Linked DNA regions of Drosophila melanogaster. The protein of the gene in region 2 interacts with the protein of the main gene of each other region in a pairwise test. Each region holds a gene or a part of one and is shown on either strand. Other genes may lie near its edges.

What was found.
Region 1: the proteins of TP53INP (region 2) and Atg8b interact in a two-hybrid assay, tested with the Drosophila melanogaster proteins (2 studies listed by BioGRID).
Region 3: the proteins of TP53INP (region 2) and Atg8a interact in a two-hybrid assay, tested with the Drosophila melanogaster proteins (2 studies listed by BioGRID).

Annotation. Positions count from the first base shown.
Region 1 is NT_033777.3:17,723,823-17,727,097, forward strand, and holds Atg8b (Autophagy-related 8b), read right to left. Parts: upstream 1,242-3,275; 5' UTR 1,089-1,241; coding exon 726-1,088; 3' UTR 588-725; downstream 1-587.
Region 2 is NT_037436.4:4,405,130-4,408,886, reverse strand, and holds the start of TP53INP (tumor protein p53 inducible nuclear protein), read right to left. Parts: upstream 1,743-3,757; 5' UTR 1,503-1,742; intron 1-1,502. Other genes in the region: CG15019 (uncharacterized protein), read left to right, coding at 2,917-3,102, 3,272-3,526.
Region 3 is NC_004354.4:10,766,376-10,770,132, forward strand, and holds the start of Atg8a (Autophagy-related 8a), read right to left. Parts: upstream 1,964-3,757; 5' UTR 1,696-1,963; coding exon 1,606-1,695; intron 932-1,605; exon of another isoform or gene 793-931; coding exon of another isoform or gene 778-792; intron 282-777; exon of another isoform or gene 3-281; coding exon of another isoform or gene 1-2. Other genes in the region: BTBD9 (BTB (POZ) domain containing 9), read left to right, coding at 2,346-2,918, 2,973-3,611, 3,680-3,757.

The DNA.
Region 1 (3,275 bases), on a different chromosome or scaffold from region 2:
ACTTTCCAATTTTTAAACGCGAGGGAGATCGAATTTATTTGTGAACCCATATATTTATATTTACTTTTTCCATATAACCATCTGGAAGTTTTCGAAGAATACAGCCCATGTAGATTAGTTTGATAAACAAAAGCTGTATATCAAAGGGTTTGGAAGTTGTGGGTGGGTGTCTGACGGAATAAAACAGAAATAAAATCAATTCGAAATTATGATATAAAAATTTCCTTCGCTAATCCATGGACACGGTGTCAACAAGTTTGTCTCACCACATTGGACTTGGCTTCATGCGACACATAAACCAACTTGTTGAATCTTATTGCACGCCTTTGGAGCACACTTTTGCCCGATTTAAACTGGTTTTATGTCTCATATTTTCATCAATTAGTGAACTTAAGCAAACCATACGGCTATCGAATATGTGAATTATAATTAAGCCGAAGCAGTGAGTCCACTAAATGTTTTTTCGAGCGCTTCAATTAACTTTTTGCGGCAAGACCAGGGGCAAGGGATTAGCGGATGCTATGCACCCACTTCCAACGCGGGGGAAGCACATACTGCGATAATTATTGTTTAGCCCAGCATGTGCCATGTGATGACGACGTTGTCTGCTTCTGGTTAGCTGGCTAGGAGCAGTCATTCTTTATTGAGCGAGTAGTGCCAATGGCAAAAAATGACAATTGAAACTCAACCGACCGCCAAAACGATTACGCGAGTCAAGCCCGCGTCTACTGCCGTCCATAGACGTTCTCATCGGTATAGGAAATGTAGAGGAAGTAGTCCTTGTCGAAGTGCTCCTGGTACAGTGCACCCATGGTGGCCGATGTCGGTGGGATCACATTGTTTACGAAGAAGAAGAGGGCGTCGTCGGGACGCAGATTGATACGCTTGCGGATGAGAAAGTAGAACTGGCCCACTGTCAGGTCCGCCGGCACCAGGTACTTCTTCTTGTCCAGCTCCGCGTAACGCGTCTTCGGCGCCTTTTCCACGATGACGGGCACACGGTCCGGATACTTGCGCCGGATCTTGTCGCCTTCGTTGCGGCGCTTGTCGAACGAGTGGTCCTTCTTGTACTGGTAGTTCATATCCATCTGGGCGGACTGGAATACGGTTCGAATCGAAACGGAGCGAAAAATGGGTTTTCGTTTTGGATTTGGTACGAAGGTCTTATGTAGCTGCCGGCCTGAGTTGCTGGGAACTATGTATGATTTATCACCTTTACTGCACAGATAGCTTTGGCAGATAGAAAAGTGCCTGCTCTTCTCGGATTTGAATGGGAAATGGGAGAGGGAAAATGTGATTGTAATCAGGTTTAGTATTCATTCCTATTCATGGAAAAGTATATCTATACCTTTAACCAATCAGGAACATACGAAATTTGTTGGAAATTCTAAATTAAAGAAGAACTACTTATATATGAGTGCCAAATTTCCCTAGGGGCTTTCATGGTGCTTACACACATATTTCTTGTATCGTTTTCATGCATCGCTCCAATTAATTAATTTGAAGTATCCCATTACCGTTTAAACTGTTAATTGTAATTGTGTCCTTGGAATCGCACTACGAATGTGCTGTGCAGGACTCCTCGGGCTAGAAACTTTCCATTCCATACTTCACTGGCGCATTTATTTTATATATTTTCATTGATTTAATTAAATATTTTGTAATACGACAAAAACTATATAAATCCCTGCAGTTGGCACCGCTCTATGAACCTTTTTTTGCAGGCCGCCCCAAGGCGACAATTGGCCCAAAGACGTTACAATCAAGGCTCCCAAGGCGCTGACCACAAGGGAGCTCAACAAGTGTATGTGCTGGGGGCGTACAACTGCGAAAGCTTTTACCTGTACCGACCGCAACGGCAACAATGCACGCAACACACGCAAAGCTGGAGCAGATGTGTTGTTGGGCTCCGTCGTCGCTGGCTGCTCGTCGCTCGGACAGCGCTGGAGCTCTCATTCCGCCATAGCTGCTGGAGCTGCTCGGTTGTTCGCGTTCGGTGCCTCGGCAGTTCAGTTTGTCGTTCTACTTCACAGTACTACTACTTGGAGCAGTTCGTGCATCGCTGGTTTCCGGTTGTGGCCTGGGCGTAATCCCTTGCAACAGGTGCACTTCAGTTCGGACGAAGACAACTGCAAAATACCTGGGATATTTACGCTTCCGGTGAGCAACATGTCCAAGAACGGACCCTTTCGATTCGTTAGAAAAAGGCGTGTGTGTGAAATAATCTTTCGGAAAATCCATTATAATTCAGAGTTTATACGCTCATGTGATGGTCGAAAAAATTGTTAGTCCCACGATCTCTCCTTTGATGTGTTGTGTGTGTTTGCTGAAAAACCAGGCCATAAAGTTATCAATTTTCATTTTGCCCAAAATTGATTCTTGATTTTAGTGGCGATTAGCCATAAACACGGGCAACTAATCTATGTGTGCCTGTGTACTGATTGTGTGCGGCAATTGCTAATTAAACTCACGGGTGCGAAACAAATCACCAATTGTATTCCACAATCCGCAAAAGTAATCGCCCTAATGGTGTTGCTTTAGCTCACCTAGAAATGTGCAGTCCAGAGCCCATTCGTTTGTGAGATGATCTGAGATTCGATAGAAACGTACGGATTTTGTGATGTGGTTACCGCATACCTGCTAATAAGTCCATGCTAATAGACTTCAAAAATCAGAGAGATTTCTTTGACTGGATAGATAGAAACGGCCATGCGCTTTCTAAACGCACAAAATACAATTTTAAAACAAATTAAAATGCACTTTGTTGGCTTGGAGACACACACACACGAGTTTTTGCGGTCAGCCAACTGGCAAAAGCTAATTTGATTTATAAAACAAATGCGTATCTGTTTTCTCCTTTTCTCGTGAAAAGTGCATAAGAAATAACAGAGCAATTAGGTAGGTAGGTAAAAATTGAAGCTTTTCTGGCCACTGAACTAGAACATTCTAATTTGATTTATATGAACAATATTGCGACTTGCGCCTAATAAACTCAAACTGACTTGTTTTACCATGTTGTTAATGCGGCAATTAACAATAATTCGTTAAAAACGACACCATAACCGTTTTTTTTTAGGGTCCAAATATGAGAGCATTGCGTTCACTGGACCAGAATCTTTGGCGTTCCTCCCACTTAATCGTGTCCGCCTGGTTTAATTACTCCAACTTGGTGTCCGCCATTCAAAGGGGAATTAGTTAAATGGAATGCAAGAGTCGTCAGAGTGGATTTAATCCAATTGAACGGCTGCTAACTATTCGGTGTTGATTCGAAATAC
Region 2 (3,757 bases):
AGGAATTGACACTGCTGCAGATAAATAAATAATCACCGAATTGGGTCGCTAAGTAGCTAAGTATGGTTTACTTAAAATGAATAACTTTCAAAAAAACAAATGATCGACTTATGAATTATAGAACTCAAATACTTCTGTTATCTAACACATTTTCTCCCTGTGCATCGGTTGGACTTTCTGTGACTACGGTTACCCTTTTGGCCAATTAAGGCGACCAGATTTGTTGGCCACGATCGAAGCGGGGCAGCCAACTGACTTTATCTGCCAGATACACATTTGGCTGAGTTCGCGTTGCTGCAGCATCATCAGCTGTTCGCTGTTTATGTTGTTGTCTGTGGCTTTTGTTTTTCAATTTTTCTTTCATTGCCACAGACAAACAACTGGCCAGACTTGATTTATCATCCGCGACGGTTCTTCCCATTCGTTTTTGGACCCCTACTCCCCACCCCTCCGTTTCGATCCAGCACCTTCCGTTCTTTAGAGGTTTTTTTTTTAGCTCTTCAGCTCGAAAAATGGACAATGGACAATGGCAACTGCAAGACCTGTTCTGCACATTTGGCGCATGATTCACTTGGGTTTTTGGGCCTGCTTTTGTGGCTGTGGAGCGGCAAGGTTTCTCCTCGAAATGCTCCCTATTTTCGTTTGCCTCTCGGATCTCAACATCTGAGCAAATGTTGGCAGGCATCCAGGAGATTTTTTTTGGCCATAATATTATAGTTGAGGAAATAATTGCAAGGCTAATTAAGATGTTAATCAGCGAAACATTCATTGCACTTGCCATCACCAGTTGACACTCCATGAACACACAATGATTGCACAAAAAAAAATATATAACTCGATCGTGGGGCAAAGTGCAGCAGCTAATATGTAAGTCTGAACACAGAGAGAAATTTTTCTAAAAAGAGTATGAGAAATTCTGAACGCTTTATGTTAGCATTTAATTCTATACACTCATTATTCCAATAAGCTCTACATTAGATGGTTTTAGGCAAATTTTTAGCAGTGCACTCAGCTGGGAAATGCCAGAGATCTGAGATGTGGCACGGATCTGATAACGATCGCTAAAAATGCTGAAAACGTGATGCAAGTCAAATTTATGGCTATTAGATGCCCAGAATGGAAATCCCCTTAACAAGAAACTCGGCCGATTTGCAGCCAAATACAATTTGGGGGAAAATCGGTGTTTGTGTGTGTGTAAGTGCATGTGGAGATGGAAAACTGTTGGCCTGGCCGAAAGCCAAGGAAAACTCACACAGCCGCAAAAGTGTGAACTCTTTGGATGCGAAGGTGCAATCAGAATTTTTTCCTGCTTTTTCGTATGTATCGCTGGGCTGCACTTTGGGATGTGTGTACATGTAAATCGGCTTGCAGCAGAACTTTTGAGAAACATATCTGAGCATGTGTTGGTGCGTGTGTGAGTGTAATGTCCTTTCCTTGGAGAAGGACTTCCGCTTCAGTATTTTTCTGCTTTTTTTCTTTGGGGGGGTTAAAACTGCACTTACTTGCTGCGCGGAGTTTATTGATCGATCGGTGTCGGAATCTACCCGTATTCTCTGCAATAATTTGCACCAGCAAGGCTTTTTACACAGTTTTCGAAATGTTTTTTAATTGGCGTGCTTATTGTTTTTTGTGCTGATTACTTCCGTTTTTGCTTAACTGACGGGGGTGAGAGTGCGGAGAAGAGCAGCGCTACAGGAACTCCGTGACGTATGCTAGCAACAACGACTGACGAGCGAATGATGGCAGAAGGTCTACAAACTGGCCAACCAAGCTGGTTGCCCCCCTATCTGTGTGCCTCTGCTGTTCGCTGGTGTTGGTGCGCTACCCATGTATTGGTGGCTCTACAGCTGAGCCCGACACACTTACCCTGTTTCTGCCTCTTTCTGCTGCTGCGCATGTGCAAGAGAGGCTCTTCGGATGCTCTATCCAAATCGAAAGTAACTCAGCTATGTCACTGAAGTAAACACATTGTATTGTACATTAACAATACCTTATACTTTGGCTAAATAGCTAGGACATTTTTACAGTCTATCTCTTTGTGAAAACCTTTTTATCAAGGTCTTTAAAAAGTAAGTGCATTTAAGCCGAATTCTTTTAAACTGTTAAACAAACTATTATATGCATTGTCTTAGCTATTAGAGAAAACTATTGCATTTTGTACAATCATATATTTTTTATAAAATTCTATTTAGTGTATTAAAAATCTAGTCGGTGTAGAGCATTTCACAACGACTATATTTCCTATTTTAGTTACTTTTCGTATTTGGCAAGCCTCTCATTTTCTCTTCAGCAGCTGATTTTGTTTGTATACAAAAATCATATTGCAATATATATATACTGAAAAGGAGAGAGAACAAAAGGTAAATAAATACAGAGTGGAAAAGGGGAAGAAAGAGATGAATGGAAACGAAAATGGAAGTGGAAAAAAGCCACAAAAGCTTAATTTGTGGTTTTTAAAAAAGTTATAACTTATATGCATTAAAGGCAAAGTCATAAAAACTAGAATTTAATATGTTTTAATATATTTTGTGGTTTTTAAAAATTTATGTACCTGATAATTGATACAACAGCGCTACAGCATATTAGGGAAAATAAGGACATAAGGTGTAATTAAATAATATGACACATATTTCTATACAGATAAGTGTCTTTTACATAGAAAGTATATAAAACTATTTAAAAAACGAGAGTAAAAAAAAAACAATTTTTAATCTTGGCGGCTAAATAACTAAAAATAAGCCCTGGTCGATTAATTTATTTGCGCTATCGATAAGAGCCCGCTGAAAAAAATCGAAGAAAAATCGGGCAGTTTTCCAGCTCTAGCAAAAACACACGTGTTTACGTTTTTAGCAAATTGAACGCAATTTCTTTACTTCTTTGACTTTTTCTGGTATTACTTAATATCCGACTACCGAAATGGGCAGAAACAATCGCTCGAGAAAGCGTCGTGATGAAATGAATAAGATAAAGAAGGCGCGGTACGAAGCCAAGGAGTTAATTCGACTGAAGAAAACTCTGGGACTCCTAGATGCCGATGGAAATGAGATCATGAAGGATATAAGCGATGTGGTCGAAATTAAGACCGCCAAGGAGCTCAAAAGGGTTAGTTATGTGATATACCCACCTACAAATATACCAATTTACCTAATGTATTATATGTATTGTATGCATGTAATATGCGAAAAACCGGCTTAGTTTATCGCGATACTACCTTCATTCTTGTTACGTATTTTATATCCTTATTAAAGAAGAAATTGTATTCCTAAAACAGGAGGCCAAATCCAAGGAGGAGCAGGAATTGATCTACGAGCACCAGGAGAGTCTGGAGAAGGGCGAGAAAGTCAAGGTGACCAACGAGAACACGGGCGTGGAGCACATTTTCAACAGCAAGACCCTCAAAGATCAGTACGGCAATTATCCTGCGTGGTTCAAGAAGAAGAAGACCGCCAAGCGTCTAAGAAAGAAGCAGCACTCGCAGAAGAAGAACTTCAAACAGGCCTGGACCACGGTTAATGTTCCCCTATAAATCCGGGGCTGGGTTACCCATCTGGTATCTTATCGTAGTTTATAAGTCCTCGCTTAGTTTAGGAGATTTTGTAGGCTTTTTCTACAAAGATGTTATAGCTAAGAGTATATATTGCATATTAAAGCCCAAACAAGTTCTGAAAAACCCAGATATAGTCTGAACTTCTCAACATGGCAATCAAATAGTATCATTACTTTTTTAAAGCTACGAGTTATTATTGCATATTAAAGC
Region 3 (3,757 bases), on a different chromosome or scaffold from region 2:
ATTTTACAGCATTTTAGCCAAATTGATCACCAAGACGACCAAGTTGGTCATTGAAGTGAGCTTTGTAACGAATCTACTGCATTTCCTTGGCTCTGGAATAATTGCTAGCTGGCCTAGACTAGACGATCCGTTCTAGCCAGGGGCTCATTAGTTAGCCTTAGCCAAATTATTGGCAAACTGGTTTGTCCAATTTTTTTTTTTTGGAACAGGAAGCGGGTGCCAACATAGTGAATACGAAATGGGCAAAAACTGCTTGTCGCGAATGCCACCCCTCTATACACTAGTGTTCTATCGAAATTCGTTATCGTCATTGGCCGAACTCAAGGCACAAGTATGAGATGTGCTAGTACGTATGTATGTACTAAGTATATTCTATAGAATTCGGATATATATGGATATGCTGGTGGTCCGAGCGACCAGCTGGCCTTGCCCCTCGCTCAGCTGTTATGTGATTTGTGATTTGGCACTGCTGCACTTGCCAAAAAAAAAAAACACTAAAATAACACTGGCAATAATATTTCGGGGGTGCATATATAGCGCACATATGTACATATTTGTACATATATACATATGCATATGCAGTCCGAATCAAAATCGAAAACAAGAACTGCACTTTTCGCTGCGATTGGGGCACCTTCAGCAGTTTGTCGTTTCGTTTCGTTTGGTTTTGTTTTGGTTTTTGTGAAAGGAGTTTTCGCTGATAACGTGGTGAAATGCATACATACATAGCAGAAAAACAACAAAGAAGAAGCAGAAGATGTTTTTGTTTTTTTCAACCTTTCTGTTTTCCATTTTTTTTATTATTTTTGTTTTGTGTTCAGCAGCGCATCTATGACTAATTCCAGTCGCACTTTGTGTATTTGCGAAAAACAAAACAAGCAGCGCTAGTATAAGTGTGTATTAGTGAGTATTAGTGACTTTTTTTATGCGCAGTACTCGCTCGTTTTGCCAACAAACAAACGAAATTAAAATCGAAAACAACTGGTTGGTGCACACACAGAAAAAAAACGGGGTGGTCAAAACTTTGCTTGTAACTAAATTATGATGACAGATAGATATATGCGATTTTCTTGCTGTGTAGCCAGAGGGTGGGATAGAGGAGAGGAAGAGGTGGCACAGATGAAATCTAGCACTGAAAACAACAACATCACAACAGCTGAGCAAGTGAAACGGCTGCTTTGTTCTCTCCCTTTTTTTGCTTTTGTTTTTTCCTGTCGACATCTGTGTGCCTGTGTGCGCGTGTATGCGTGCGTATGTGTGTATGCAGGGGGCAGAATTTTCGTTTGAATTTCTTTTGAGAGCTTGTCGCCTGTTCCCCCCACCAGTAATGCAAAATGCACTTTATGCAATACCCATCGCACAAATTTCCCCAGCCACCTGATGTGCCAGTGCAATAATATTGTAATAACAATCGAAATACCCAATATGCGCAGTATTGATTTTCTTCGGTGCAAACACAAAAAAAAAGAGCGAGAAAAAAAACGACGCAAAACAAACGCATACACAGAAGCTCGCACATACACACACACTCGCACGCATATATACACACACACACACGTCTCTTTATACCTATATGCATTTATATATATATTTTTGAGTACTTACGGGCACACGGTCTGGATATTTGCGACGGATCTTGTCGCCCTCGGCGCGACGCTTCTCGAAGGCGTGCTCCTCCTTGTATTGGAACTTCATGATTGCAATGAAGAGGTAATTGGCTAAGAAACGCAGCTTCTATCACTTCGTTTGCTTTTGGGACTGTGCCGAATATCGATGCGTTGCTGAGCTTGTGTTTTTCTCTTCTCTGTTTTCTCGTACAAACGGTACGAAATACTTGTGTAGAGTGACCGTGCGCAGCAGTTGACAGAGCGCTTCGGTCTAAAAATCGATGACTTGCTGGTTTTATCGATAAGCACTCGCACTGTGGTGACTGCACTCGCTAACTGCTGTGGCTAGACTGACCGTGTGTGACCAGTGAGCGCGCAGAGACACCAACCCGAAACGCGCTAATAGTGGTGGCATATTAGACAGACACCATTTGGTTCATGTATTCGCTAAATGTTATCGGATGCAACCATGTGGTTCATGTGCTCGCTAGCAGACGGCTGTCGATATGGTTGTTGTACGCGTTAAATGGTATACACACCTACGGTCACACTGCACATATAACAGTTTTTCGCCGCAATAGAAGAATCCCTATTGTGCCATCGATATTATCGATATCACTAACTGTCATCGATGGATTGACGCAGCAGGCGAGACGAAACGTTAATTGTCAACTGTTCCCTCTGGCTGCTTACACACATAAATACACATCGCACGGAAGAAAAACAAAAAAGAGAAGGATGAGCAGCCAGGGACACCATAAGATGTCCGGCGGCGGCAAGAAGGGCGCCATGGAGCAGGACTACACCGACGTGGTCGATCTGGGCGATCGCTTCTCAGCGGACATGGCGCGCCTCTGCATGAACGAACAGTACGCGGACGTGGAGTTCATCGTCGAGGAGGAGCGCATACCCGCCCACCGCGTCATACTCGCGGCACGCAGCGAATACTTCCGGGCGCTGCTGTACGGCGGCATGGCGGAGACCACACAGCGCCAAATACCGCTTGAGGTGCCGCTGGAAGCGTTCAAGGTGCTGCTGCGCTACATTTACTCGGGCACACTGCTGCTGTCCACATTGGACGAGGATTCCACCATCGATGTGCTGGGCATGGCCAATCAGTATGGTTTCCAGGATCTGGAGATGGCCATATCGAATTATTTACGCCAGTATCTGGCCTTGGACAATGTCTGCATGATTCTTGATGCGGCGCGTCTATACAATCTAGAGGAACTCACCGAGGTTTGCCTAATGTTCATGGATCGCAATGCCGGCGACCTGCTGCTGCACAACAGCTTCAATACGCTATCCAAGGTAAGTTCACAACCAATTGGTAAAGTTGGCACTAAGAGTATGTAATGCTTACAGGAATCGCTGGAGGAGGTACTACGGCGTGACTGCTTCTTCGCCCCCGAGGTGCAGATCTTTTTGGCCGTGTGGAAGTGGAGCCGCTTCAATAGCAACGTGGACTTCAAGTCCGTGGTTAGTTATGTCCGCCTGCCACTGATGAACCTCGAGCATCTGCTGCAGGTGGTGCGTCCCTCGGGCATCCTGGATCCCGACAAGATTCTCGACGCCATCGACGAGCGCAGCACTTCAAAGGCGCTGCCCTACAGGGCGGCGCTCTGGCCGGAGGAAAACGTGGCCGCGGAGACGTTTTTGTCGCGCTGCATCCAGGGAGAGTGTCGCGACGCGCTGCTGGATGGAGATGTGACCACCTATGACATGGAGAACGGGTATACGCGCCACTGCATTACGGACAGCAAAGATGCGGGCATTGTGGTCGAATTGGGCACGTTCTGCATGATCAATCACATTCGCATGCTGCTCTGGGACAGAGACAGCCGGGCGTACTCCTACTACGTTGAGGTGTCCGGCGACCAGCAGCATTGGGATCGCGTGGTCGACTACAGCGACTACCACTGCCGCTCCTGGCAATACTTATACTTCGAAGCACGACCCGTCAGATTCATTCGACTGGTGGGCACCCAGAACACTGTAAACCGGGTAAGTCAGCAGTGATCTCTTCAAACTTTCCCCATTCTTTAACTTTTTCCCTTTCCATTAATATATAGGTATTCCATGTTGTGGGTCTGGAAGCCATGCACACGGCCAAGGTGCCGCGTTTAGTTAACCATTTTGTGGCGCCCAAG